Schizosaccharomyces pombe: one gene and its partners. The protein of the gene in region 2 interacts with the protein of the main gene of each other region in a biochemical or structural test. Each region holds a gene or a part of one and is shown on either strand. Other genes may lie near its edges. The genes, in order: aha1, hsp90 and sti1.

Evidence for each region.
Region 1: the proteins of hsp90 (region 2) and aha1 form a complex in vitro, tested with the Schizosaccharomyces pombe proteins (one study listed by BioGRID).
Region 3: the proteins of hsp90 (region 2) and sti1 form a complex in vitro, tested with the Schizosaccharomyces pombe proteins (one study listed by BioGRID).

What each region holds. Positions count from the first base shown.
Region 1 is NC_003423.3:2,147,113-2,151,362, reverse strand, and holds aha1 (chaperone activator Aha1), read right to left. Parts: upstream 2,311-4,250; 5' UTR 2,239-2,310; coding exon 2,207-2,238; intron 1,832-2,206; coding exon 853-1,831; 3' UTR 562-852; downstream 1-561. Other genes in the region: SPOM_SPBC1711.09C (SNARE-associated protein), read left to right, coding at 1-403; WD repeat-containing protein Rrb1, read right to left, coding at 3,665-4,250.
Region 2 is NC_003424.3:3,888,053-3,892,978, reverse strand, and holds hsp90 (Hsp90 chaperone), read left to right. Parts: upstream 1-1,839; 5' UTR 1,840-2,090; coding exon 2,091-4,205; 3' UTR 4,206-4,421; downstream 4,422-4,926. Other genes in the region: diphthamide biosynthesis protein Dph4, read left to right, coding at 221-434, 474-679; myosin II regulatory light chain Rlc1, read right to left, coding at 4,855-4,926. UniProt on the Schizosaccharomyces pombe protein: Molecular chaperone that promotes the maturation, structural maintenance and proper regulation of specific target proteins involved for instance in cell cycle control and signal transduction. Undergoes a functional cycle that is linked to its ATPase activity.
Region 3 is NC_003421.2:1,260,705-1,265,290, reverse strand, and holds sti1 (chaperone activator Sti1), read left to right. Parts: upstream 1-1,715; 5' UTR 1,716-1,909; coding exon 1,910-3,685; 3' UTR 3,686-3,953; downstream 3,954-4,586. Other genes in the region: osh6 (oxysterol binding protein), read left to right, coding at 1-561; bye1 (transcription elongation regulator), read right to left, coding at 4,492-4,586. UniProt on the Schizosaccharomyces pombe protein: May play a role in mediating the heat shock response of some HSP70 genes.

The DNA of each region.
Region 1 (4,250 bases), on a different chromosome or scaffold from region 2:
GTTAAGCTTTCTTCCTACTCATTTTACGACTGTTTTTTTTGCGACACTTCCAGAATTATCCTACATCGGTTGGGCAATTGCCTTCTGGCTCTCTTGTTTTAAATATCTTGTTCCGGTTTACGCTGGTTACTGTATCGTTCACAACAAATCAAGTGCTGCAAACATAGTAGGAATTGTTCTCAGCATTGTCGTGACTCTTGGTACTTTAGCGTTTCTGATTGTTCGTTATAAAGCAATTAAAAATAGCACTTTAGAAGATTCTACGAACAGTACTTCAGATGTATTAAATCATTTAGAGTCACAACCAACCGATAGTATTGATCTGAGACATCTTGAGCAAACTTCAGAACAGAATGAAACTGACAACTCAGAAAGAAAACATTTGTTAAGTCATCAACACTGACACATTTGTCCCTAAAAATTCTCTTATCGTATAATTATTAAGGTACATATCACTTTCATATATTAATACGTAGAAAACGATCACAATCCTAACAATTTGATGAAATTAATTTAGATATTCTATATTTTGTTTTTAATAAACATGGGATTTACCAATGTGTAACATATTATAATTAGACATACAATCAGTGAAAATATTCACAAATCGTGGCATCAGTCAATCATGGCTGTAAAATTCATTAAATTTTAATAATTTTGAAAAAACAAGAGGACAAACTATGGTTATGCATTCTTGATAAAACCTGATTTTATCTATATTTCATTTGCCTTCAAAAAAAGCAAAACTCACAATAGAATACATTATTTGAAACATAGCCTGTATGCAGGATTTATAAAGGATTGTTAAATTTTTTTCTGAGCTAATCATCCATATGTGAAAGTCAAGATCGATTACAGAACAGCGCCAAAACCAAAAACTGTCTTAATGGGACGAATATAATAATCCTGAATATTACCTTGTACAACCTCCTCTTCGCCGATCGGAACACCCTTCATAATCATACGTAAAGTAGTATAAGAATCAGCTTGATCGAAGGTGAATGTTATTTCAGCATAGTGACCGGTGGGCCACGAACTAAGACGCCAAGTTTGCACGATTTTTTTGTTTTCTTCCAGTACAAGGAATTTTCCAACTACATTTCCATGGAACAGAGAGAAAGCGCCTTGCGGACGAACATCGAGTTGCGGAGGAGCGCGAGACCAAGCAGCTACGCGAGCAGGATCAAGGAAAGTAGCATAAAGTTCATTAGCAGGAGCATCAAAAGTATAGTTCTCAGAAATATCGGCAGTATTGACTACTGCTGATACACGAGAGCCATCAGAGCCAGATCCAGCGGCCACCGTGGTAGTACCTTTGTTAGACGAAGTCTGTGAAGAATTGTTTTGCTTAAAGCTACTATGCACGGGAAGTCCACGAGCAGCGTTACCGTTATGTTCTTCAGTGGAGAGATAAACATCGTCACCATGGGTTTGCAACAAAACTTGGGAAAATCCAGAAAAAAGCTGACGAATTTGAGGAATAATTTTCTCACGAACAAGCTCTTTAATGGGTTCTTTTTCCTTTGAAGCAGAGTAAATGTCGATGTCAAACACGTAATCAGAGTATCCTAAGTCATAAGAAAGCTCGGGGCAAGTAATGGAGCCAGTAGCTTCAACTCCATCCTTAGTTTCTCCTTTAAATTCCATTTGTATTTTCAAATCAAAAATAGTAATGACCTTTCTTTTGCGCATAGAGACATCGACATCTCCTTCACAGCTATTGACTTGGGTAATGCGAGCACTAGTGGGGCCCTCAGAAGCTTGGATCTTAGGAAGTTCCTTATTGAAGTACTCATGAGACCATACTCGACAATCCTTTGAAGTCCAATGCCTAAAATTGAGTTAGCGAATCAATCGTTTTATTTGGACATATCCATCGTTTCGTAAATATTCCAAACCTTTGACGATGAACTACTATTCCATATTCAGAAACCAACGCATTGAATAACTACCGACTCAATAAAGAAAAAACTTTCATAATAGGATCAACCCAATCTTGACATCATGATTTGGCTAGCAACAATGTAAAATGGTGAAACCCAATTTCGCTCGTTTATACGAATTCATTCAATAGAATATTATTGTGTTCAACCCAATCAAAAATGTCATTGAAATTGAATAAGGGATAATACGATGGAAATGAATAAAAACATAGTTACATGACTTAAGTTTGGAAATTTTTTTATCCCAACACTACTGTACATACCAGTTATTGGGGTTTATAGATGTGGCCGACATTCCTACTCAATATAAGCTAACAAATGAATTTCGTTCAAATTCTAAAGCAAACAAGGTGTTGCGTCCAATTTCAATCTCATGCTCGTTTCAACCTCCTTCTATATATATACCCCCACCTACACCACCCCCATCGAAGTCTCAGGAATCTTCGAGAGAAGGAAAAGACGAGTATCTAAGAGGACATGCAGTATGCTAAGCTCCGCTAGAAACTGTTGTGCTAACAATGAATGTGCTCTACTATCAATATATACCGCATGAGGTATAGATGGAAGACTAATGGTCTCAGTGGTAAATGCATGTTATTGTATAATAACATCTATTTGCAAATTAATCAACTGCATAATCATGCGGATAGTAATTTAAATTGTTAAACTAATAATGTGTATTTAGTGAAAAACCTCCGTTGGGAAAATTCTGCATCTTTCCATGCTGAAAAGGAAAGAAGATCCACTTCAAGACAGATATGAAGTTACATTTAACTTGAAAACTCTTTGTGTATCATATTGAATTCTATTTTTCAAATTAATAAAAATAAATAGTTTGCCTTCTCAGTTGGAAAGCAGTCGTTAAGCATATGATACAGTTTTCATAAATACACAAGCGTTCAGACTTATAACAATAACGCTTGAAATTAGCAAACATAGAGCGTAATTTGCTTTTAAAAGTAGATTCTACTTTCCAATTAAGATAATTATTATAATCTATCAAAAAAAACTTTTTATATCACCAAAACCGAACCAACCAAAATATGATAACATTTCACCACTCTCAAATGAAAAAAGAACGAGTGATTTAGCAAGAACTACTTGAACCAAACCCTTGCATTGAACAATATATACCGCATGAGGTATAGATGGAAGACTAATGGTCTCAGTGGTAAATGCATGTTATTGTATAATAACATCTATTTGCAAATTAATCAACTGCATAATCATGCGGATAGTAATTTAAATTGTTAAACTAATAATGTGTATTTAGTGAAAAACCTCCGTTGGGAAAATTCTGCATCTTTCCATGCTGAAAAGGAAAGAAGATCCACTTCAAGACAGATATGAAGTTACATTTAACTTGAAAACTCTTTGTGTATCATATTGAATTCTATTTTTCAAATTAATAAAAATAAATAGTTTGCCTTCTCAGTTGGAAAGCAGTCGTTAAGCATATGATACAGTTTTCATAAATACACAAGCGTTCAGACTTATAACAATAACGCTTGAAATTAGCAAACATAGAGCGTAATTTGCTTTTAAAAGTAGATTCTACTTTCCAATTAAGATAATTATTATAATCTATCAAAAAAAACTTTTTATATCACCAAAACCGAACCAACCAAAATATGATAACATTTCACCACTCTCAAATGAAAAAAGAACGAGTGATTTAGCAAGAACTACTTGACCAAACCCTTGCATTGAAAAATTAGGCACTAAAAAGTGATAGTTTTAAACACATTTATACCAGTCATAGCAGTGGAGACAATCGTTCCAGGTATTTGCCTATGCCAATGCATTTCCTTGATTTCTTGTTGACCCATGTGTATAAACATTAACTGAGGAGGAACGTCCTGCAACCCCTCTGCTGCACGACTGTCTTGTTCTTCTTCATCAAGCTCCACCGATAAATCCCATAATGAAATTTGATTATCCGCACCAACGACACCAATAACGGAATCTTCGTTAGGATGCCATTCAATACTGTATATAGGAGCACGGTGCCATTTGAAAGAAGCAACAGGAGTTGCAACTGAGGATGAACTTTTCAGAGAACGAAGGTCCCACACGCTCCAAACACCATTATCAGCACCAGTTGCCAATAAATTAGGTACACGTGTATTCCAACTTAACACATTAACGTCGACACCAGGATGAGCATTGACGGTAAGAGCTGACGTCTTTTGTTTATTTCGGACATCCCAGATGCGAAAAGTGCCATCGCAACTGCAACTGGAAAATACGTTCTTTTCACTAGGAGACCATTGTAGATCTTCGACAGCAGCAGTATGGCTTAGAAAA
Region 2 (4,926 bases):
TCAGAAAAAGAAGTGAGTTAAATAATGAGTTATTAACAAATGCAATGCGCCTAACCTCAATAATTCTTTAAAAATTTTTAAAGATGTAGCTTTAATTAAACATTTGAGCACATATTGTTTCATCATTGCTCTCCTACATCAAAGTAATGACAAATCAATTGGGCACCCTAACTATGTATATGCATATACCAGCAGAACGACATAAGTGTGCTGTATCCTCATGAACCACTATTCGGTTCTAAACCTCAAAGATGGAAAAACTTACACAGACGATGAAATAAAAGAAGCTTATAGAAAAGCGTTACTACTGTTTCACCCGGATAAGTGTAAAGAAAAGCCCTCTGTGGTGTATACTATTGATCAAGTGAAAGAAGCATATCAAGTCCTTTCAAGTGAAAAAGATCGTCAGCAATATCAAATAAAACAAGAAGAGGGTAATTTTGTTTTGAAGGTTTTTTTATTAATCTAAACAGAAAGCTCGCATTACTACTCTATCGTTGATCTAAGTGAATTTGAAGAACTCGACAACGGCTCCTATTATTATCCTTGCCGATGCGGCGATTTAGGAGGATATGTTGTCACGGAAGACGACCTGGAAAATAACAGAAGTGTCGTCCCATGCATGGGTTGCTCTCTAACTATACAAGTAGATTATGAAATCGCGGAATCCGACTCATGATATCTTTTAAAGGGAGGCCAAGTATTTGTTGAGAGAAGGCAAGGCTAGTCTCTCTTGCTAAGGATTGTATAATAATATAGACTAATTGCAGCTGTAAATAATTTGGAAGTTTCAAAAGAGTCCTTAAATGAACGGTTAATTACCTTTGAAAATTTATGGCGGAGAATCACTTTTGATTTATTTATATACAAAGAATTTATTGCTGAGATATTATTAATAGCCTTTTTACTAAAATTTGAGTACTGTAAAAACTGCTGGAATGTTTCAATAATAATTTGTATTCGATAGGTGACATGGCTGTAGCGAAATTTATGCAAGCGACGCACATACCGAAGTAGTATCGGATGCGTTTCGTCTTGTCAAGTAAGTTTTATGCAAATGCGAAGGATTGGGTGTTTAACGATGTAAACAAATACAGTACAAGTTTATGAAATGGTATTTGCTAAATTCTGTTCGATTTTGAGAAATATTACATATTCTGTTCTTTATTATATATTCTATAAATTTATGTAACAAATGTCTACGGCCATACCTAGGCGAAAACACCAGTTCCCGTCCGATCACTGCAGTTAAGCGTCTGAGGGCCTCGTTAGTACTATGGTTGGAGACAACATGGGAATCCGGGGTGCTGTAGGCCTCTTTTTCGGAACATTATTTTTAATATGTATTCTAATTGCGTGCAAAAGAAATTTGAAGAAATATCACTCACTTGGAATTTATGAAGTTCCCATCATCTAGATAAGATACAGTTAAACACTTTAAATGATCGATCTCGTTTAGCTAACCTAAAAACGGTCGGTTATGAACAGTGAACGTTAGCGAGATGCCGATTTTATCACCCTTCAACGATGCTTAACGAAAAAACCTTTCGCTACAGTAAAACCTTATGAGCTTATCACAGTGTAAGGATGTTTCCGAATATTGGTTGTTCGTAATTTTACGCAATACACTATCTTCCCTCTAGCATCTTCTAGATACACTTTAGTGAGAAATTTTTTTTCTCACCCCAACCTTCTATCGCAATCCAAATACCACACTTCGTTGCATCCGCACTATTCTTTGAGTTCCATGTCCTTCCACCAAAAACCAGGGTTAGGGTTTTGGAATGTTCGAGTTGCTTTGTTTACAGAATATAAACCACCATACACGTACCCTCCGCCATCTAGCTCTCAAGTTATTTATAACCCATTTCCCACTAAGTTCCTTTGTTGAACGCTTAAAAGATTGTTCATACGTTTGAACATATTTAAAATCACGTTATAGCTGAGAAGAAAACCCCTTTTCAAGTAATAAAAGTATATTTAATTACTTATTTTACCCTTTATATTACGAACTGTACGACTTAACCGGTTTTATCTATAAATTCCTTCATTTTTCTTTGTTTTCGTTTTCAATTTGATTTCATTACAAAATGTCGAACACAGAAACTTTCAAGTTTGAGGCTGAAATCAGCCAGTTGATGTCTTTAATCATCAACACTGTTTATTCTAACAAGGAAATTTTCCTTCGTGAGCTTATTTCCAACGCTTCCGATGCCTTGGACAAAATTCGTTATCAAAGCCTTTCCGATCCTCATGCCTTAGACGCTGAGAAGGATCTTTTCATTCGCATTACTCCTGACAAGGAGAACAAAATCCTTAGCATTCGCGATACCGGTATTGGTATGACCAAGAATGACCTTATCAACAACCTTGGTGTTATCGCCAAGTCTGGTACTAAGCAGTTTATGGAAGCTGCTGCTTCTGGTGCTGATATCTCCATGATTGGTCAATTCGGTGTTGGTTTCTACTCTGCATACTTGGTTGCCGACAAGGTCCAAGTCGTAAGTAAGCATAATGACGATGAGCAATACATCTGGGAATCCTCTGCTGGTGGTAGCTTCACCGTCACTTTGGACACCGATGGACCTCGCTTGTTACGTGGTACCGAGATTCGTCTCTTCATGAAAGAAGACCAACTTCAATACCTCGAGGAAAAGACTATCAAAGATACCGTCAAGAAACATAGTGAGTTCATCTCTTACCCCATTCAATTAGTTGTTACCCGTGAGGTTGAGAAGGAGGTCCCTGAAGAAGAAGAGACCGAAGAAGTTAAGAATGAAGAAGACGATAAGGCTCCTAAGATTGAGGAGGTTGATGATGAATCTGAGAAGAAGGAGAAGAAGACCAAGAAGGTCAAGGAGACCACCACTGAGACTGAGGAGTTGAACAAGACCAAGCCCATTTGGACTCGCAACCCCAGTGAAGTTACCAAGGAAGAGTATGCCTCTTTCTACAAGTCTTTGACTAACGACTGGGAAGACCATTTGGCCGTCAAGCACTTCAGCGTTGAAGGTCAATTGGAATTCCGTGCCATTCTTTTCGTCCCCCGCCGCGCTCCTATGGACCTTTTTGAGGCCAAGCGTAAGAAGAACAACATCAAGCTCTATGTTCGCCGTGTTTTCATTACCGACGACTGTGAAGAGTTGATTCCTGAATGGTTGGGTTTCATTAAGGGTGTTGTTGATTCTGAGGACTTGCCCTTGAACTTGTCTCGTGAGATGCTTCAACAAAACAAGATCATGAAGGTTATTCGTAAGAACCTTGTCCGTCGTTGTCTTGATATGTTCAACGAGATTGCCGAGGACAAGGAGAACTTCAAGACTTTCTACGATGCTTTCAGCAAGAATTTGAAGCTTGGTATCCATGAGGATGCTGCTAACCGCCCTGCTTTAGCCAAGCTTTTGCGTTACAACTCCCTTAACTCCCCTGATGATCTTATCAGTCTTGAGGACTACATCACTAAGATGCCCGAACATCAAAAGAACATTTATTTCATCACTGGTGAATCTAAGCAAGCCGTTGAGAACTCTCCCTTCTTGGAAATCTTCCGTGCCAAGAAGTTTGATGTTCTCTTCATGGTTGACCCCATTGATGAGTACGCTGTCACTCAACTCAAGGAATTCGAGGGCAAGAAATTGGTTAACATTACTAAGGATGGTCTTGAGTTGGAAGAGACTGACGAGGAGAAGGCTGCTCGCGAGAAGCTCGAAAAAGAGTATGAGGAGTTTGCTAAGCAACTTAAGACCATTTTGGGTGACAAGGTTGAAAAGGTTGTTGTTTCTAACAAGATTGTTGGTTCTCCTTGCTTGTTAACTACCGGTCAATATGGTTGGTCTGCTAACATGGAACGTATCATGAAGGCTCAAGCCCTTCGTGATACTTCTATGAGTGCCTATATGTCTAGCCGCAAGACTTTTGAGATTAACCCCAAGTCTCCCATCATTGCTGAGCTCAAGAAGAAGGTTGAGGAGAATGGTGCCGAAGACCGCTCTGTGAAGGATCTTGCTACTATTTTGTATGAGACCGCCTTGTTGTCCTCTGGTTTCACTCTTGATGACCCTAGTGCTTATGCTCAACGTATCAACCGTCTTATTTCTCTTGGTCTTAGCATTGACGAAGAGGAGGAGGCTCCTATTGAGGAAATTTCTACCGAATCCGTCGCTGCTGAAAACAATGCTGAGAGCAAGATGGAGGAAGTCGATTAAATCAAATGCATCTAATGTGTCTTTCCAAAATTTATGCATATAATGTTTTTCTTGGATTAAAGCAAGTTATCCTATACATTGTTAACGATTCTAGTGTCTGTTGTCATTCAAAAATTTCTTTCTACACGATTTTTCTTAATACACACTAGATTACAGGTTGTTTGGAAGTTGTTATAATATGGAATGTTGATTAGTAATATTAAAGTTTATGGATACTTATTAGTACATCAAATTTTGTTTTCGAATAATGTAGTTTATACTACTAACAAGTACAAGTTGGTGCTTAAAAGTTATTTTTTTCTAGTCATGTGAGAGCTGTTTTACAAGGTAGGATAATTTTGATGAGGAACATAGGTATGCTGGGCTAATATAGATTTATTCATACATTAATTGAACCCTCGAATGAAAATATGGTTAATGACATTAAGCCTAAGCTCTAACTCACTAAACACTGCAAATAATAGTAAAGTCGCAGAGAGTAGCTAAGTATTGAGACACATAAAGTATAGGTCACAACGAACATAAATGTATCAAATGCTTTCATAAAAAGTTAAAAGAGAAGAGGAAAATTCGTCTAAGGGAAATGGCTCAGGTTAAAAAGATAAAGTATTAGAGGGAAGAATGTGAAACATATCTGGCTGCTCTTAACTCAATTGCTATCTTTTGACCCAGCAATAGCATCAACGAATTTCTCGTAATAGAATACACCATGACTGGTGTA
Region 3 (4,586 bases), on a different chromosome or scaffold from region 2:
CGTCCATTAGAGGAGCAGGGGGAGCGTGAGTCTCAAAGGTTGTGGTATAAAACGTGTCAGGCAGTAATAGCCCGTGACCAAACTACTGCTACCGAAACAAAATCCGCCATAGAGGATCGTCAGCGAGAAGAAGCAAAACAGCGCGAGATAGAGAATGTTCAATGGAAGCCCAAATACTTTAAAATGATTGCACCTGAAGAGTACATTCTGAACTTTGACATCCCTAATGGCAAGTCAGACCTTGAAGTTTTGTGTGCGTTGGATGAGTTTATCCCAATTTTCAGTGAGGTTGACAGGATTGCGTTTCACAAGTTTCTTTCTGAAAACACAAAGCCGGAAGATAGCTCCATCCATAAACATTCACGTGATGCAAGCGGCGATAGTACAAAGGGATTTGCAGAACACATGCCAGCGCCTGCGCGTAGGCGACGACCCCAGAGTACTGCAAGTTTTGTAACATATCGGAGTGACAACGGATCGGTTGATGAATATCATGACGCTCAACTCCCTGACCCTAATACTCTATCAAAGTTACATGAAGAACAGGATCCAGCTTTATAATGAGAAGGAAATACTTCGTTCTAATGGATTTTTATGATTAAGTGGTTTATATTTGATACGTTTGTTGTTTTTTATATTGATTTTCTGTCTTTGGAGTCGTGAATGAAGAATGCTTTTTTCTTTTAGCTGAGGATTTTCTGAATTTAGAATGTTAATATGGACATGTCTCTCATCCAGTGAGTTAAGTCCATCCCTGATGAAGAGAGATAAATTGCAACGTTGTTATTTACCATATTTTTCCTTAATTGGGATTTAGTTCTTTATACACTATTAACCTATTCTTATATATCAATCTTTCTTTACTCTCCGTTACTTCCTACCTTGTTTTGGTAGTGTGAACCGATGTTAATAGAAATGTAAAGTGGTTTTATTTGTTAGTGTATTACTCTAGTAGAGAAGCAAAAGCGTCAAAAATGTGTTTCCATAATTCATCCTACCGGTTTGGGTAACGCTCAGGATGAGCGTTATTCAATAATGGTAAATTTTTATTTAACAAATGCTTGCTTTATGCTTTCTTCAAAGAACTTGATATCGTAGAACTGACTAGGTTAGTTACTTGGATCTTGTGATATTCATAGTGGTTTACTCAACGCAGATGAAACGAGTTAAAGTGCCAAACGATAAAAATGTGGACTAAAAGAAAAGTCCGGAAAAAGGAGTAAGTAATTCCTCTTGGTATTGTTTTTAAGTCACTTTCTACTGACGTTTTGACTGTGTATTCAGATGAAGCAGCCTGCACCAGAAAGTATAAAGACTTCGTAGAAGAACTTGAGCCATCGTTTTTTATCCTACAAAGAGAATTATGTTATACTGCAATGAAAAAAGAATACAAATAATATCATCTACTATTTTTCATGAATAACAGTGTTTTACAGATATACAAATTCAAACAAACTGTCACCTTCCAAGGAGGATGGAAGAGTTGTGACCTCAAGACGAAATCCTTACAAAATCAGAAGGGAAAGCAATTTTGAAGTTATTAAAGTAGTTTAAAAATACAATTAACTATTTTAGAATTATCTAATTTTATATCATGAATTTGCGTGTAAGTTTAAACAAAAGAATCTTCGTTATTCTGGAGTTTTCGTTAACCTTCGCTGAGCTTGAATGACGATGGCCATATATATACACAAGCGTGTCCAGCGGTGTCGGGTATATTTACAATTACCTGTCTTTAGCATACATCTTCAAAGACAAACGAAATTCCAAATTCTACGAAAAAGTAGTAAACGGAAAGAGTTACGACGCTTAGTTGCGGAAAATCGATATTGTTGATATTTAATTAGTGGGAAATCGTTTTGAAAGCAAACGAAACTCGAAAACTGGTGATTTCAGTGAATTCATTAAAATGGCAGAAGAATTGAAAGCCAAGGGAAATGCGGCGTTCTCCAAAAAGGATTATAAAACAGCCATTGATTACTTTACTCAAGCAATTGGTTTAGATGAAAGAAATCACATTTTGTATTCCAACCGCTCTGCGTGTTATGCTTCTGAAAAGGACTATGCCGATGCACTGAAAGATGCCACAAAATGTACCGAATTGAAGCCAGACTGGGCTAAAGGTTGGTCAAGAAAAGGCGCTGCTTTACACGGACTTGGCGACCTTGATGCAGCACGTAGCGCATATGAGGAAGGCTTGAAGCATGATGCTAATAATGCGCAATTGCTAAATGGTTTGAAAAGTGTAGAAGCCGCACAAACTCAAGCCGCTTCTGGTGCCGGCGGTTTCAACCCGTTCGCCAAGTTAGGTTCTCAACTTTCCGATCCTAAATTCATGGAAAAGCTTGCTAGCAATCCGGAAACGGCTTCTTTGCTTGCTGATTCGGCCTTTATGGCTAAGCTCCAAAAGATTCAACAAAATCCTGGCAGTATCATGGCCGAGTTGAATGACCCAAGGATGATGAAGGTGATTGGCATGTTGATGGGTATTGATATCAACATGAATGCGGGAGAGGGCGCTGCAGAGGAACAAGAGAAGAAAGAAGAGTTTGCTCCTTCTTCTTCCACGCCTTCTGCTGACTCTGCCAAGCCTGAAACCACTAATCCTCCTCCCCAGCCTCAAGCCAGTGAACCCATGGAAGAAGACAAAACTGCTGAGGAATTGGAGGAAGCAGCCACAAAGGAAGCCCTTAAGAAAAAAGCCGATCAAGAAAAGCAAATTGGCAATGAAAACTACAAGAAGCGTAACTTTCCTGTGGCTATTGAACAATACAAAAAGGCATGGGATACATACAAGGATATCACCTATTTGAATAACCTTGCTGCTGCTTATTTTGAAGCGGATCAACTTGATGATTGCATTAAAACTTGTGAAGATGCAATCGAGCAAGGTCGTGAGTTGCGTGCCGACTTTAAGCTCATTGCCAAAGCACTTGGCCGTTTGGGTACTACGTATCAGAAACGCGGTGATTTAGTCAAAGCTATTGATTACTATCAACGTTCTCTTACCGAACATCGTACTCCTGACATTCTCTCTAGGCTAAAGGATGCTGAAAAGAGTAAGGAACTTCAGGATCGTGAAGCTTACATTGACCCTGACAAAGCCGAGGAGTCTCGTGTCAAAGGTAATGAGCTTTTTAAATCTGGCGACTTTGCCAATGCCATTAAGGAGTATACAGAAATGACCAAGCGTGCTCCTTCTGATCCTCGTGGCTTTGGTAACCGTGCTGCTGCCTATCTGAAGGTGATGGCTCCCGCAGAGTGCATTCGTGATTGCAACAAGGCAATCGAGTTAGATCCCAACTTTGCAAAAGCGTATGTTCGCAAAGCTCAAGCTCTTTTTATGTTGAAAGATTACAATAAATGTATTGATGCATGCAATGAAGCTTCTGAAGTTGACCGTCGTGAGCCCAATACCGGTAAGAACCTTCGTGAAATCGAGTCTCAATTGTCCAAGTGTATGAGCGCAATGGCTAGTCAGAGACAAAATGAAACTGAGGAGGAGACGATGGCTCGAATTCAAAAAGATCCTGAAGTTCTAGGAATCTTACAAGACCCTGCTATGCAAGCTATCCTTGGACAAGCTCGTGAGAATCCTGCTGCTTTGATGGAACACATGAAGAACCCAACCGTTAAAAGCAAAATTGAGAAGCTGATTGCCAGCGGTGTTATTCGCCTGGGCTAAATTTGCGCTTTTGTGAGAAGTGAGATTTAAAAAAAAGAAAGGTTTTAACGTTTACTTAGTTTATGAATGTTGTTTGTTAAAGAGTAATCCCTTACTTTAATACAACCGGATGAATTGGATAACTGCTTTTTTGTTAAATATTTCACTAAACGAAGAAGTTGGGTGTTATTTATCCTCCAAATTTTTAGGGTATTGATGAGTTAGTCGATTAATAGTTTGATCATTTAATAAACATAAGCACTAATTCATGTTGAATTTAAAATTATAATCATATCACGATAGGTAGTTACTAAATGCTTTAACCTTTTATTCTCCAAATTTTAGGGTGGATATGAAAAGTATTATAATATCAAATCAAAATTTTAAGTCCAGATGTGAATCGCTTTACATTGTGCTAACTAACAAACTCAATTAAGAGTGTAAAAAAAAAATAAATAAATATCATTAGGTTGACCTTAATTATCCATAACTAAAATGTTATGAAAATAGATTATGCATATCAAGCAGTAATATTAGATAGATATGTAAGTCAAAGAAGCCATGCTTCACAAAATATACCGTTAATAAAAAACTCGTCAATGTGTCTCAAAGATTCTAGGATAAGGTTAACTAGGACCATCTCCCAAAAATGATATTATAATGAAAACTTTTAAGGACCGGGTTAATTGATTCTTTAAACTACAGTTTTCCTATTTTAATATATACCAAAAAGAGACATATATGCCATTTTTGATGATCCAAAAAGGAGGAGTTATGCAAGAACGGTGCTTGTTAATAACCTCCATTAAAAAAGAAATTTACAAAAATTATTGTTTGGACGCCTTTTTCTGAGCCGCCGAAATGGCATTCTGCATAAATTGAGGGTTAATTGCTAGCGACGGATTTGCCCTTATTTGTGGAT